Linked DNA regions of Neurospora crassa OR74A. The protein of the gene in region 3 binds, or shares a complex with, the protein of the main gene of each other region. Links are inferred from orthologs where the notes say so. Each region holds a gene or a part of one and is shown on either strand. Other genes may lie near its edges. The genes, in order: NCU06404, ypt-1 and NCU05288.

What was found.
Region 1: the proteins of NCU05288 (region 3) and NCU06404 are in contact, whole or in part, in a crystal structure (PDB 3CPH), measured with the Saccharomyces cerevisiae proteins. The link is inferred for Neurospora crassa OR74A from reciprocal best matches to the Saccharomyces cerevisiae genes GDI1 and SEC4. Residues at the interface, in NP_011062.1 of Saccharomyces cerevisiae: Thr5, Ile6, Tyr44, Arg78, Arg106, Tyr107, Tyr237, Glu241, Gln244, Ala247, Arg248, Ala251, Ile252, Tyr253, Gly254, Thr256, Tyr257, Met258, Leu259, Leu282, Arg445; in NP_116650.1 of Saccharomyces cerevisiae: Ile53, Gly54, Ile55, Asp56, Phe57, Trp74, Asp75, Thr76, Ala77, Gln79, Arg81, Phe82, Thr84, Thr86, Thr87, Ala88, Tyr89, Arg91, Asn123.
Region 2: the proteins of NCU05288 (region 3) and ypt-1 are in contact, whole or in part, in a crystal structure (PDB 1UKV), measured with the Saccharomyces cerevisiae proteins. The link is inferred for Neurospora crassa OR74A from reciprocal best matches to the Saccharomyces cerevisiae genes GDI1 and YPT1. Residues at the interface, in NP_011062.1 of Saccharomyces cerevisiae: Thr5, Ile6, Tyr44, Gln55, Lys76, Arg78, Asn81, Thr96, Leu99, Ile100, Asp103, Thr105, Arg106, Tyr107, Asp109, Phe110, Lys111, Gln112, Ser156, Cys221, Gln222, Ala225, Arg226, Tyr227, Leu233, Met236, Tyr237, Glu241, Gln244, Ala247; in NP_116615.1 of Saccharomyces cerevisiae: Thr40, Ile41, Gly42, Val43, Asp44, Phe45, Trp62, Asp63, Thr64, Ala65, Gln67, Arg69, Phe70, Thr72, Ile73, Thr74, Ser75, Ser76, Tyr77, Arg79, Gly80, Asp107, Arg108, Tyr109, Ala110, Ser112, Gly189, Asn190, Val191, Asn192.

What each region holds. Positions count from the first base shown.
Region 1 is NC_026504.1:2,623,053-2,627,449, reverse strand, and holds NCU06404 (GTP-binding protein), read left to right. Parts: upstream 1-1,741; 5' UTR 1,742-2,409; coding exon 2,410-2,439; intron 2,440-2,569; coding exon 2,570-2,837; intron 2,838-3,048; coding exon 3,049-3,368; 3' UTR 3,369-4,235; downstream 4,236-4,397. Other genes in the region: NCU06403 (hypothetical protein), read left to right, coding at 1-35, 101-447. UniProt on the Saccharomyces cerevisiae protein: Involved in exocytosis. Maybe by regulating the binding and fusion of secretory vesicles with the cell surface. The GTP-bound form of SEC4 may interact with an effector, thereby stimulating its activity and leading to exocytotic fusion.
Region 2 is NC_026502.1:3,521,242-3,525,632, reverse strand, and holds ypt-1 (small GTP-binding protein), read left to right. Parts: upstream 1-1,493; 5' UTR 1,494-1,766; coding exon 1,767-1,777; intron 1,778-2,036; coding exon 2,037-2,160; intron 2,161-2,230; coding exon 2,231-2,278; intron 2,279-2,346; coding exon 2,347-2,574; intron 2,575-2,632; coding exon 2,633-2,833; 3' UTR 2,834-3,714; downstream 3,715-4,391. Other genes in the region: NCU08476 (hypothetical protein), read right to left, coding at 1-238. UniProt on the Saccharomyces cerevisiae protein: The small GTPases Rab are key regulators of intracellular membrane trafficking, from the formation of transport vesicles to their fusion with membranes.
Region 3 is NC_026504.1:5,450,202-5,454,598, reverse strand, and holds the start of NCU05288 (rab GDP-dissociation inhibitor), read left to right. Parts: upstream 1-1,989; 5' UTR 1,990-2,440; coding exon 2,441-2,574; intron 2,575-2,671; coding exon 2,672-3,045; intron 3,046-3,120; coding exon 3,121-3,663; intron 3,664-3,726; coding exon 3,727-3,881; intron 3,882-3,967; coding exon 3,968-4,159; 3' UTR 4,160-4,397. Other genes in the region: NCU05287 (50S ribosomal protein L4), read left to right, coding at 1-312, 399-656. UniProt on the Saccharomyces cerevisiae protein: Regulates the GDP/GTP exchange reaction of SEC4 by inhibiting the dissociation of GDP from it, and the subsequent binding of GTP to SEC4. Plays an essential role in the yeast secretory pathway.

The DNA.
Region 1 (4,397 bases), about 2.8 Mb from region 3:
CTTTGGGTTTGTCGGTCTGGCGCCCGGGGTTGTTGGTAAGTTATTTTGCTCGACTCTTGTCTGAGAAACGTTGAATGCCACTGCTAACTCTCAAATACAGTCTCCATCGGCATCGTCCAATACCTCAGGACCGTCTTTGGCAGCCGCAAGGGACTCCGCAGAGGAGAAAAGGTTCGTCGTATCGTCAGGGTACTCAGAAACATGGACAGAATCCTGGCTGCGGGCGCTACCAATCCCAAGGGCGGGCTCAAGTACAAGGACCGCGGGCTGTTGCTTTGCGAGGCGCATGTGCTGCGCGAACTCGCTACTGAAGTGCTCCCTGGAGACATCCGGCGCGAGTTCCTGGAGGATCTGGAGGATTTGACGAGTGTGAAGAATGTCGTTCTTCAAGAAAAGGCTCTGCAGAGGATTCGGTGGGCATACGCCGATTGGCTGGGCAAGAAATAGATGGCTGTCAGAGTTTCATCAATCCTCTATCCCGAGATCCCCAGCGCGGGAGTTGGTGAATGGCGGTAAGCGTTTTGTATTGTTAGTTGGGCTGTGATGTGATATGATCAGTGTACTTTAGTAAATAGCGACTAGATCTTCCATGATTCTTCTGTTTGTATGAAATAGCTATAAGGACTTGGAGTTTTGAGAATGCACGGGGGAGATGGTGCCGGTGATATGGCAGAGGTGAGCAGGTGCAGGAAGTACCGGGCCTAAACACCAAAACAGAGTTGTCTACTAACCCCTTAAACACGGTGGATACCTACCTACCTATGTGCCTATAGGCGGCGACGTTTAGTCCACGTAGTGTGAAAACACCCCACGGGCATGTTGCTGGACTTTTTCACGCTTCACGCAGGGGCATAACCAGGGTGCAGGGTCACCCAGGGGCCGCCTTTCGTGTGGCGGGAGGGCAGGAAAAGGCTTTGGTGGAAGAGATCATTGGGCCAATATGAGTTATAGATCCATCAACGGATACTGCGTCTCGTGCGTATAGACTGTTCACCGCCCTGCCCGCCTTTCTCACCATGTTGCTGTGAGACCGCCCAGTCGCCTGTGTCTGCAGCTTCAGCTGGCCTTTCACGATACTCCATTTTGTTGAAGAAGCCAAGAAAACCCCTTAATCAACTTTCCTGGTAAAACAAACAAATAAAGACAGCTGGTCTTCTGTTGGATGCGCGAATGAACGGATGGTCTCGTTTGGTCTCGAGGCTCACCTTCTTCCGCGACCTCAGATATTAGTGGCAGAGCTCCCTCCCTGGTTCCTGAATCTTGGGTTGCATTCGTTGAGAGTGCAGTTGAGTTGTCTCTTTCTCACTCCGGTTTCCTAGACACTTTGCGCCATGCACAACAACTTGTCCTTCGAGCTCATCCTGTCATTCATAACACATTGGTATCTCTATCTACTGCAAGGTTGAAAGGGACACAAAGAATGGAATATCAGGTGGAGTTGTTGCGGCGATTGTAGGTTCTAGAAACTTGACCGATTACGTACCGAACAGTCGCGTCCCCTAGACCACGATCACGCGCTGCAATAAGCGTTCTTCCACTAGAGTGGAGGTACAGGTGTAAAGGGCACAGATAACCCCCCATCCCATACATAGTGTAGCCCGCGACTCGGTAGCACTTCAGGCAAGTGCGTCAACCCTCACATTGTACCTCTATGGTGGTGATCGCGTTGCCCGGGCTCTGGACTTCCACTTGCCCTGCGCTTTGGGACCCAGGTTAGCATTGATTAGATAGTATCAGACATCAGGGGCATCTGAGACATTCCAGTTTTCTTGGTTCCTTCCTCTCCACGCAGGGAGGTCTTGGACAAGTGGAAGCTACAAGACCCCTTTCTGCCTTCCCCGTCCTCGTCATTGTTCGCCTTTCCATTGGATCTCCGCACGGCATCGCCCCGTAAAGTTGGAGGGAGAGAGAGCCCAGGTACGCACTGCCCGCAGCCCAGTAGCCGGCCAGCCAAGTCTACCTTAGTGCAGGAGTAGGAGACCCCATCGCGCTCTCGCCTGTTTGTTCGTTCTGCGACTCCTCCTCCGCTGGACTACTACCTAACCCGTGCAACCGCCCTGCAGTTTTGACAGGCCCGTCAACGTCGCACTGCGGACACGCTTTCAACTACCACCACCACTGCATTCCACCACCACTCACTCACTCACCTACACTACCTACCTACAACTGAACATCATTCCTGCTCTGTCGCCTGTTTCCTGAACTGCGCATCGTCACCACCATTCGAGCCTCCAGTCTCCATCCCCATTCCCTTTCCCGCAACTACCAGTGTACAACAGCCCGACGATTTCGAAACGCCGGATTTCGATTGATATCCCCTTTGCCGAATTCCGGAGTCCGAACTACCAGAGAAACATTCCAAGAGATCGAAACGACGGGCGGCGGCGTTAACCCCCACACCAGTTCATCATGTCGAGTAACAGGAATTACGATTTTCTGGTGAGTCTTTCCTTCACCTCACCGCTCGCACTCTCGCGACATTCCTTGTGTTCCCCCCCTCCCCCGTAGTGGGTTTGGCGAGGTTATTCTGTTTCCAGACGCTGACCGGAGATACCGCTTCACGACATAGATCAAGCTGCTCTTGATCGGAGACTCGGGCGTTGGCAAGTCCTGCTGTCTGTTGCGCTTTAGCGAAGACTCATTCACACCGTCATTTATCACCACCATCGGTATCGACTTCAAGATCCGCACAATCGAACTCGATGGCAAGCGGGTGAAGCTACAGATATGGGATACCGCCGGTCAAGAGCGTTTCCGTACCATCACGACGGCATACTACAGAGGCGCCATGGGCATTCTTCTCGTTTACGACGTGACGGATGAAAGGTCATTCAACAGTACGTGAACCCACATTCCCATCCCGCATAAAATGGCATGACAGTTGCGGTCAAGAGGTGGTCCTTGAGGTCACGCTCGAAATGCGATGGATTGGTGCCTTTTAGATGCCATGCCTCTCCATTGCTCCGGATTCTGGCATCAGCAATCTCCCATCGGATACCATGCCATGTATTACCTCGCTCCTTTGCTGACGTGACCTTCTCTTCGCAGATATCCGTACCTGGTTCGCCAACGTGGAGCAACACGCGACGGAAGGAGTCAACAAGATTCTCATTGGAAACAAGTGCGACTGGGAGGAAAAGAGGGCGGTTTCCAAGGAACAAGGCCAAGCGCTAGCCGACGAGCTTGGCATTCCCTTCCTCGAGGTTTCGGCCAAGGCGAACATCAACATCGAAGAGGCCTTCTTCAGCCTCGCCAACGACATCAAGAAGCGCATCATCGACACATCCGGCAAAGAGGCGTCTGGCGGCTCGTCGGGCGTGAACGTCAGCGACAACAGCGGGTCAGGATCCGGCGGCAAGTGCTGTTAAGCCAAACGGGTAGCAGTTGTGTGGCGGCGAAACCCGACCCTGGAGCTCGCAAAAAAAAAAAAAAAAAAGCCCGCTGACAATCACGATGGCGATACGAGATCCGATTTATCCTCCCGAAGTATGGATGACAGCAGTCTGGCCTCATTCAGTTCTATTTGGCTACAGCCTACGTCTATCGAACATGCACCTGTCTTCCTGCGGGCCACCAATATGCACGGCCGGGTCTACCGCATGGAAACAAAGAGGCGGTGTAGGGGAGAAAGAGGGTATCTTCGGTCTCAAGACTTTACTATGGTTGTAATGAAGCTAAGGTCCAAGAGGAAAAGACGGCTTTAGTTATTCTGGAGGGCTCATTGAAAACCCCTTTCTTGTCACTCGGGAGCAGGAGGGAGAAGCGGCGCGGAAGATACGACGCGTGCTCATTTCCGGCTTCTCGCTATTGGGTCTATTATTATTGCGCTCTAGAAGCAGTGGATGGTAGGATGGATAGGCTAGGGAGCTGAGGACATCAACGACGATACGGAGACATGTGAGTATTACGACCGGCTTGATCGATATAGATGGATTGAGGTTGGGTTGGCAGCATGGACGAGGGGCAGAGAGCGAAACGAAACATTCTGGTCACGGAGTTTGGGTGCGATCTTTGGCTCTTCCTAATATATTTCATTTTCTTCTCTCTTGACTGTTTCCCCTTTGTTGTTCTCTTTCTGGTTTGTAGATTTCGTGCGCGGCCCCCCTTATAGCTGTATCTCCAAAGTATGACGATACGACACCCATAAAACAAAACATAGATAGATATTCCCTGAAAAGATGGGGACGCCCTGGTCAACCATGGCTAGTGTAGAGTATCAAGACGTATGACGTGAGCGATAACATTGTTGACATGAGCCACGAATCCACAAGAGGTGCTCTTTTACTCTTTCGGGAAACGAGCACAAAGAACGGGATAGATGTGGTCTGTGCGTTGCTCAACTTCCACTTGTCGGTCCCTTCGGTCTGACTGTTTACATAGTGCCGAGGAAGCCACCA
Region 2 (4,391 bases), on a different chromosome or scaffold from region 3:
TCTCTGGGAGGGTGGATGTTGAGCGCTTGTTGATGGTGGTGTTTGCGACGGATGCGGGTGACGATGATGCGCCACTAACTTTTGTTGTTGATGATTTGGTTGGCGGCGGCGGCTGTGATGAGGTCGGTTGCGAATGTGTTGGAGGCTGGTTTGAGAGAAAGTAGGATCGGCATTGGGATGGCTGTTGCTTGCCCACCACACCACCAGCAGCTATTCGTATCCTCGTGGGCGCCGACATGGTGCAGTGGGTGTTTTTAAACACTTTGGTGGTCGGGTACCTGGGCCGACACGAGTGGACTCGCAACGTGGGCTGTCGGAACACGCCGCGCTGAGATGGACAGTGTAAGTATGTATACTATGGGGTGTGTATAGGGCTGGGATCGATGCAAGATAAGGCCGGGTTGAATGCAATTTGCAAGAGTGTGAAAACGCCAAGTGGTTGACTTGTCTCTCTGACGAAGAGTGCCGCACAGCGGGTGGAATGATGTCAGTGACGGATTGGCTCGGATGGTTGACCACAGAGCTGATAAGAGGGTCGGTAATCGGGTGGATCGGCTTCCACTTGCTCACCGGATCTCCCCACGGACAGGGATTCCAATAGTGATGTTTTGTGGGGTTGGATCTTGATCATCAACACTCTATCCATGGACATTGTGTAGGTCAGGAGGCTTTGAGAGCAACCTAGTTGCATACAATGAAACGACATATGCTTCATCGTAATTTTGGTTGTGGTCAAATATCCAGAACCTTGAGGTCTCATTTCGTTCGTACACTTGTTTCACATGAGCCTTATCTTATCGGCATACATATGTAAATGTGCTGGATGATGGAACCTAACTGAAGCTAGAAGCTTCCTAAGATCAGGAGTCCGTTGGACCCGTGAATCAATGTTGCTCCCAAATCCAAAAAAAAGGGAATCATTCATTCATTCATTGATCCATTCATTCATTCATTCATTGATACATTCATTCATTCAATGGAAGCCCATGTGGACACCGCTCAGGTGGCCCAGCCTCCAAGTCCACGATAATAAAGGTAGCCATGGGAACAACGGCCAAAGCACTTTCGAGGTATACCAAAACAAAAAAGTTCCGTAGCCGTACTTTGTTGTCGTCTCTTGGACAGAGAATAACCTGGAATCTCAACCACATTTCATCATCATTGTTTTTTTTTGTCTTTTTTTCTTTTGGGACTTGTTTAGCTGTGAAATGCACATCATCGGGACGACTCCAAGATTGTTAGTGCAATACCGTACATACCGCAACTGAAGTGGGAAAGGGTCAGGAGGCGGCTGCTGCGTCACGTGCATCGTCACCGCTTGAGTCCCCTGTTTTGGATGGATCAGTGTCCCGCCTCTTGGCCGGCGGTCGCCAATCACCCCCCCGCCCGGAGAGTGTGCGGGTGGTGTGGGTGGGCTGCCACTGCCACTCGCTGCCAGCAGTCAGCCAGGACAGCCGAGGGCGCTCTCCCATTCCATCAACTGCCCGTGTTAAGTTGCTCTGCGTGTTGCCCGTTCCAGGTTCTATGCTGCGTGCTGTTGCTGCCTTTCCATCCGCCCACCTACACTAGACTTCTACAATCCTCCACATCATCAATCAACCAACAGACCGACCTCCCACCCCCAACGACCTACACCTAATCTCATTCAGCGAAACCATCCATCTTTCGCTCCACCACCGTCCACCTTACGATACCCGCCTTATTTCTTCGCTGTCCAACTCAACCCAACACCACCACATCGCATAGCGCGTCCCTCGTTGCCCATCATGAACCCTGAGTAGTAGGTTTAATCACGTCTCCTGTTGCCCTTCTCCTGCTCTTCCCAAATCACCGTAAGCCGCCGCCACGCTGCCGCCACCTACAATCATCGCCGCCGCCCGTATCCCATGTTGTTTCCATGACGGATTGCTAACATGTTTAACCTTCAGGGTGCCCACCGCTTCCCCTCTTCACCCGACGTCGTCCCCTTCCCTTTCGCGACTCGACCGATCACCGCCGCCACCACCCCCAAAGAACCCTGCTGACGATGCAACCAGATACGACTACCTCTTCAAGCTCCTCCTCATCGGTGACTCCGGTGTCGGAAAGTCTTGCTTGCTCCTTCGTTTTGCCGACGATACCTACACCGAGTCCTATATCTCCACCATCGGTGTCGACTTTGTACGTCCTGCTATCCTGCCTGCGCAACACATGCGTTCGACCCCCATCAACATGCTGACCGTTTGGCTAGAAAATTCGCACTATCGAGCTTGATGGCAAGACCGTGAAGCTCCAGATCGTAAGCAACCCCCCGGCACTCCTGGACACTTTGGAAATCCAAATTCGCTGACCCAGTCGCTTATTCAGTGGGATACCGCTGGCCAAGAACGTTTCCGTACCATCACCTCTTCCTACTACCGTGGCGCCCACGGCATCTGCGTTGTCTACGATGTCACGGATATGGACTCTTTCAACAACGTGAAGCAATGGCTTCAGGAGATTGACCGTTACGCCACCGAGGGCGTCAACAAGCTCCTCGTCGGCAACAAGAGCGATATGACCGACAAGAAGGTTGTTGAGTACACAGTCGCCAAGGTACACAGCCACCCCTAACCCTCGTGTCTAAGCCACATACTTACACATCAACCAACAGGAGTTCGCCGACAGCCTGGGCATTCCCTTCCTCGAGACCTCCGCCAAGAACGCTAGCAACGTCGAGCAGGCTTTCCTTACCATGGCCCGCCAGATCAAGGAGCGCATGGGCAGCTCCATCGCCACCAACAACACGAAAGCCAGCGTCAACGTCTCCCCCGGCCACGGCGTCTCCAACAACTCTTCCGGCGGCTGCTGCTAAAGCGTCTGTGCCTTGCGGCATTGGTTGCGCTCTTGGCGTTACGGTTTCGCATCGGACGGTGTTTGACGACATGATGATGCGATTGAATGTTACGGCGTGGGCACTGGGTTGAGCTGTGATGCAAATGCTGCTCTAATGGGATCTCAGTTGGGAATGTTTCGGCTCTGCTTCTGTGGTTTTGCGAGGAACATGGGAGGAGACTTGGGGCGGCTTTACATGCTACCTTGGGAATTCATCACACGGTTCCGCGGGCTCTTCTTCGCTTGCCGGGACAGGTTAGGGTGGGGCCTAAGAGGATGGTGATCGAACGCACCGGAAAAGGGAGCTTAATAGTTGGCTCATCACCAGTGTCCGTCACGATTCCTGGCAAAGGGCAAGGGGGGAAAGAGTGGCTGGCTGAGACATGGGATGGGCGGCGGGCTTCTTAGAGAGCTTCCACGACCCTTGATGATGTTGGGGGTGTGTGTGTTGCGTGTGTGTATTTTCGGTCTTGGGCATAACTGAGGACGCGGCACGGTTTTTTTTTTTTTTTTAAACACATTTGTTACTTTTGGTTTTTTTTTTAAGGAGCTAGACTACAGTTTTTGCTATTTTTGTGTTTTGAGGCAAACCCACTGATCTTTCCATGCTACAGCTCTCTCACACATAGAGGAAACCTTTCGCTTCAGAGAGATGACCGGCACATTTACACCAAGAAGAACCACACGTACAGGCACACCCATGCATAAAAAACAAATGCTCACCAGACTTCAAGCCCTTAGCCAGCTCTAGACGTCCTCGATAGTTACTCGCGCTTGATGAAGTCTCTCAAAGTGACGGACTTGGTTATGCTAGTAGAGTTTGATAGTCTAACTGGATCTGTAAACATTGAGATTTTGGACATCCTGCCGGCTGATCCAAAGGCCACGATCAGACTGCTGTGGATAACCCACTCTCCAGGGTCTTGACAGCAGTATATTTATGAGAAGTCCAATCGACGGTCGGTAAATGCCCCTTGTCCCATATCACGGATAGTATAGCCAGCCATATCAGAGTTGAGGATTTGTTGTGTTGAAGCACCCCAATTCAATCAGTAATCGCAGGTATCAACCGCTTCAAGGATTGAAGAGACACTCGGTTTTAAAAGCTTGCTTTACAACTATACCCGTAGCCAGGATCCGACTTTCCATCTCTTGTCAGGCCCTCTTCTTCCCATCCATGGTGACTTTGCCTGCACGCTATACGTATCTCTACCTACGTTTTCCCATATCCACTGACCCCGGGACTCTTCGCCCTGCGTTGATGATAGACTAACAGCAGCATAATAGTGAGTGAGTAAGTGAGTAAGTGAGTAAATGAGTACCCAAGTGAGTCAAATGAACTTGTTGCGTTTCAACACTTCTCTTCTCTTTGCTTTCCATTCTTTGCAGTGATTTACCCCAACTTTTTTTTTTTCTTCTTCTTCTTCTTTCCTTCCCGGTAATCCTCCCAAGCTTACCCCCGTACTTCATTACAACAAGCATGTACCTGTACCTGTACTTGTAACCGTTTGTTGAACATCAGAGGTAGAGGTTTCTCC
Region 3 (4,397 bases):
CTCTCTGTCTCCGACGAACCCCTCCCCGAGCCTGTCCCGCGCGAGGAGCTGCCCCCGATCCAAGTCGACGAGAACCACGGCCTGTGGGACTTCTTTTACGACCGTGAGACCGTCGCCATGGCACCCCTCGAGCACACCAAGCACGGCCGCGCCTGGACCGTTTCCGAGCTGCGCAAGAAGTCGTGGGACGACCTGCACCGGCTATGGTGGGTCTGTGTCAAGGAGCGCAACCGCATTGCGACGGCGAACTGGGAGCGCACAAAGAGCGAATTGGGTTTCGGTCTTGCTGAGGCCAATGAGCGTGACCGCAATGTAGGTGGATGACACAGGAAGGAGGAAGGCCCATTTACTAGGTTACAGCAGAGAAGCTGACAATGGTTCTCCTTTGATTTTTCTAGGTCAAGCAAACGATGCGCGGAATCAAGCATGTGCTCACCGAGCGCTTCTATGCTTGGGAGGATGCAGTCAAGCTGGCCGAGCAGGACCCGGAGATCGACCTGTCCAACCCCGAGAACCCCTACACGCCTAGCACATTCCTCGAGGCGGAAGAGACGGCGGAGGGCGCCGAGGCCAGCGAGACGCAATCCACCACCACAGAAATCGACCCAACAACGATACCATCATCCAAGTCCCAAGCCGAAGCCCCCAGGGTATGAAGAGAGGGAAGCGGTCCCAAATGAACCAGACGGGCGAACGGTCGTGAAGGTACCCTTGCGGTAAGAGGACGAGGGGGGGAAAACAGTCACGATACCCGTTTTCCCAAAACAAACCACCACACATTTTTGCAACCTGTATCGATAGTGTAACGAGCATCATATGTGTTCACTGTACAACAGCCAAATTCAACCCGGACAGGCCCTGTTTCTAAAGAGGGAAGGACATGGGCCTGGGAGATTTTCATGAAGAAGCCAACGAAGCAAAAACAAAAAGCCCCATGGGGTTCATGGGAATGGGTGTCCCATATGGATTAGGCGGTCCCTGGTGAATAGTGATGGGCCGAACAACCGAGATCTGGGGTGCGTGAATCTCTGTATACCAACATCTCGCTTAGGACATGTCTAGATTTCCACGGTAGCTGGGGAGATCATCATCGGCGCCAACCTGGACAGGCGAGACCATGGAGAGGTCAGGAGGAAGGGGCATGGCGGGATAGACGAGACAAAGCTCGTTTCCAAGTCCAATTTTTAGATACAAAATGGCGAGTGGTAGTGTACATATATCAGAATGATATATATATGGATCTCTATATATACATATCAATCATCGTTGCGGGGACCAGATGAAGCAAGCCAGGGTTCTGTTCATCAGATCAGTGAACGGTCTTCATGTCTTTGAACATCAAATCATTAGCGAGCCCGAGTCCCACCAAGGGGGACATTAGGGGGACATTACTTTCTTGGCTCCGGTCTAGCTCAAAGAAGCTCAAAGCGGGGTCCCGTTCGCGCCCCTCATTGTACGACTCCCCCACTTCCTACCACGACGGTGACGAACCAGAGGCCGGCCATCTGCTAGAGGTACCACAACTGGCTGGCCGGCAGCAAGAAGCCTGGCCTCCATGGGCTGGGCTACCTAGGTAGGGGAGACCGCCTACGAGACCGCCCACCCAAACCGGAGCCCCGAGGAGACACGACCATGCATTGGACATGCCCCCTACTTTCATCAAAGAGGTGTCTGTTTGTCTCTCAATGGTTTTGAATGGTGGTTGAAGACTGACAGCCTGGCGACGATGGACATGATCAGAGCAAACTGAATGGATCATATGGAGTGCCGTGACGGAGACCTGACCTGGACCCATGGCTGACAGCTTCCTGCACCTGCACACCGTACTTGCAACAGGTGGAAGCTGCTGTCAGTCGCAGGCGGTGCCAGCAATGCAGCGTGTGTGCAGGCAGTGGCAGCAGCCCAGCGGCGGCAGTGCGGCCCCAGTCCGTCCGTCAACGCCCCGTCCGTCGTCGTCCCTTGTCCCCTAGGTAGGTAGTAACCAGGTATGGACACACTAACGTGACAGACCGACGGGACGCCGCCTCCTGTCAGTTGTCCAGTCCAGTCCAGTCCACGACAAAGTGGAAGTCCACCAGCCAGTCCACTCAACTGCTGGTCTCTGTCCCTGGTCGTCCATCATCTCTCTCTGGCGGGCTACCTACTTACCCCCATTTAGTATCAAGTGATCCGCCTTCAACTTCGTTCCTTCTTCCCCGTCCCATTCTTCTTGTTCTGCTTCTTCCATTCTCCGTCGTCGTGTGTTTAGCCTGCTTGCTATATACCACCTACTACCTACCTGCCTCCTACCTACTCTCACCACCACCACCCCCACCACCCCCCTCTAATCCAAACAACAAGCTTCCTACTACCTGTAGCTTGTTGCTTATAGCTTGCAGACCGCAAGACCGCCGACTCACCACAACAACCAACCACAACTAATACTATCAACACCACAACCATGGCCGACGAGATCGCCAAGGAGTACGATGTCATTGTGCTGGGCACTGGCTTGACCGAGTGTATTCTCTCGGGTGTTCTCAGTGTCAAGGGAAAGAAGGTCCTCCACATCGACCGCAACGACCACTACGGCGGGTTCGTACTTCCCTCTCCCCCCCTTCAACCCCCCCCTTCACCCCCCTATCGAACCATGATGAGGACACAACGGAAGCTAACATGACTCCTTGCGCAGTGAGGCGGCGTCGGTTAACCTCGAGACGCTCTTCAAGAAATATGGCAACTTTGCCGCCGGTACCGAGCCTTGGAAGGAATACGGTCGCCCCAACGACTGGAACATCGACCTTGTTCCCAAGTTCCTCATGTCCTCGGGCGAGCTCACCAACATTCTTGTCTCCACCGATGTTACCCGTTACCTCGAGTTCAAGCAGGTTGCCGGCAGCTACGTACAGCAGGGTGCTGGTTCCAAGGCCACCATCGCCAAGGTCCCCTCAGATGCCGCCGAGGCGTTGCGCTCGCCCCTCATGGGCATCTTCGAGAAGCGCCGCATGAAGAGCTTCATCGAGTGGGTTGGCGAGTTCGACCCCAAGGACCCCGCCACACACAAGGGTAAGTTCGGCCCACAAATACACTTGCTGTCATATTGTATTGTTCATGAGCGCTAACCAGTAGGGGCGCTTGCAGGTCTTGACATGGCCACCTGCACCATGAAGGACGTCTTTGAGAAGTTCAGCCTCGAGGCCGGCACCAAGGACTTTGTCGGCCACGCCATGGCCCTCTACCTCAACGACAACTACCTCGATACCCCTGGCGCCGCCCCTGAGACCATCGAGCGCATCCGCCTTTACGGCCAGTCCGTTGCCCGCTACGGCAAGTCGCCATACATCTACCCTCTCTACGGCCTCGGCGAGCTTCCCCAGGGTTTCGCCCGTCTCTCTGCCATCTACGGCGGTACCTACATGCTCAACACCAACGTTGACGAGCTCGTCTACGAGAACGGCAAGGCCGTCGGCATCAAGGCCACCATGACCGGCGTTGAGCCCGAGATGAAGTTCGAGACCCGCGCCAAGATGATCCTCGGTGACCCCAGCTACTTCCCCGACAAGGTCAAGGTTGTCGGCCACGTCCTCCGCGCCATCTGCATTCTCAAGCACCCCCTTGCTAGCACCAACGATGCCGATTCGTGCCAGTTGATCATTCCCCAGTCGCAGGTGGGCCGCAAGAACGGTAAGTTTGTTTTGCGTCACAACATGATAATCCAAACAGATTCACTAATAAAGGGTTGTCCAGATATCTACATTGCTTGCGTCTCCTCGGCGCACAACGTCTGCCCCAAGGGCTACTGGATCGCCATTGTCTCGACCATTGCCGAGACCTCTGCGAACCACCACCTCGAGCTCGCCCCTGGTATCGAGCGCCTCGGCAAGATCGAGGAGCAGTTCATGGTATGTTTTTTTTTGTTCTCCCCCGTCATTCTTGCCTACCTAGCTTCTAGAAAGATAACTAACCCAATTTTTCCCACAACAAACAGGGTCCCCCCATTCCCCTCTATGAGCCCCTCGAGGATGGTCGCAACGACAACATCTTCATCTCCAAGAGCTACGACGCTACCAGCCACTTTGAGACCTCGACAGAGGATGTCAAGGACATCTACCGCCGGTGCGCGGGCGAGGAGCTTGTTGTTGAAGGTTTGAGGGAGGGTATCCAGATGTCGCAGGAGTAAACAATGGACGACAGTGACATAAAGGGATATATGGATATGGATTAAGGCATAACATTAACAACATTTAATTGATGGTTTCTCCGTTTGAAAGCATAAACTGTACTACATATCACATTAGTACATACAGGCTGCTGTTGCTGCTGCTGCTGCTGCTTTGTTTAGCGAGGTTTTACGGGCAGTCAGCCAGTCAGCCAGTCAGCCACTTCCCCCTTCAACTCACCCAGTTTCCAAAGCGACG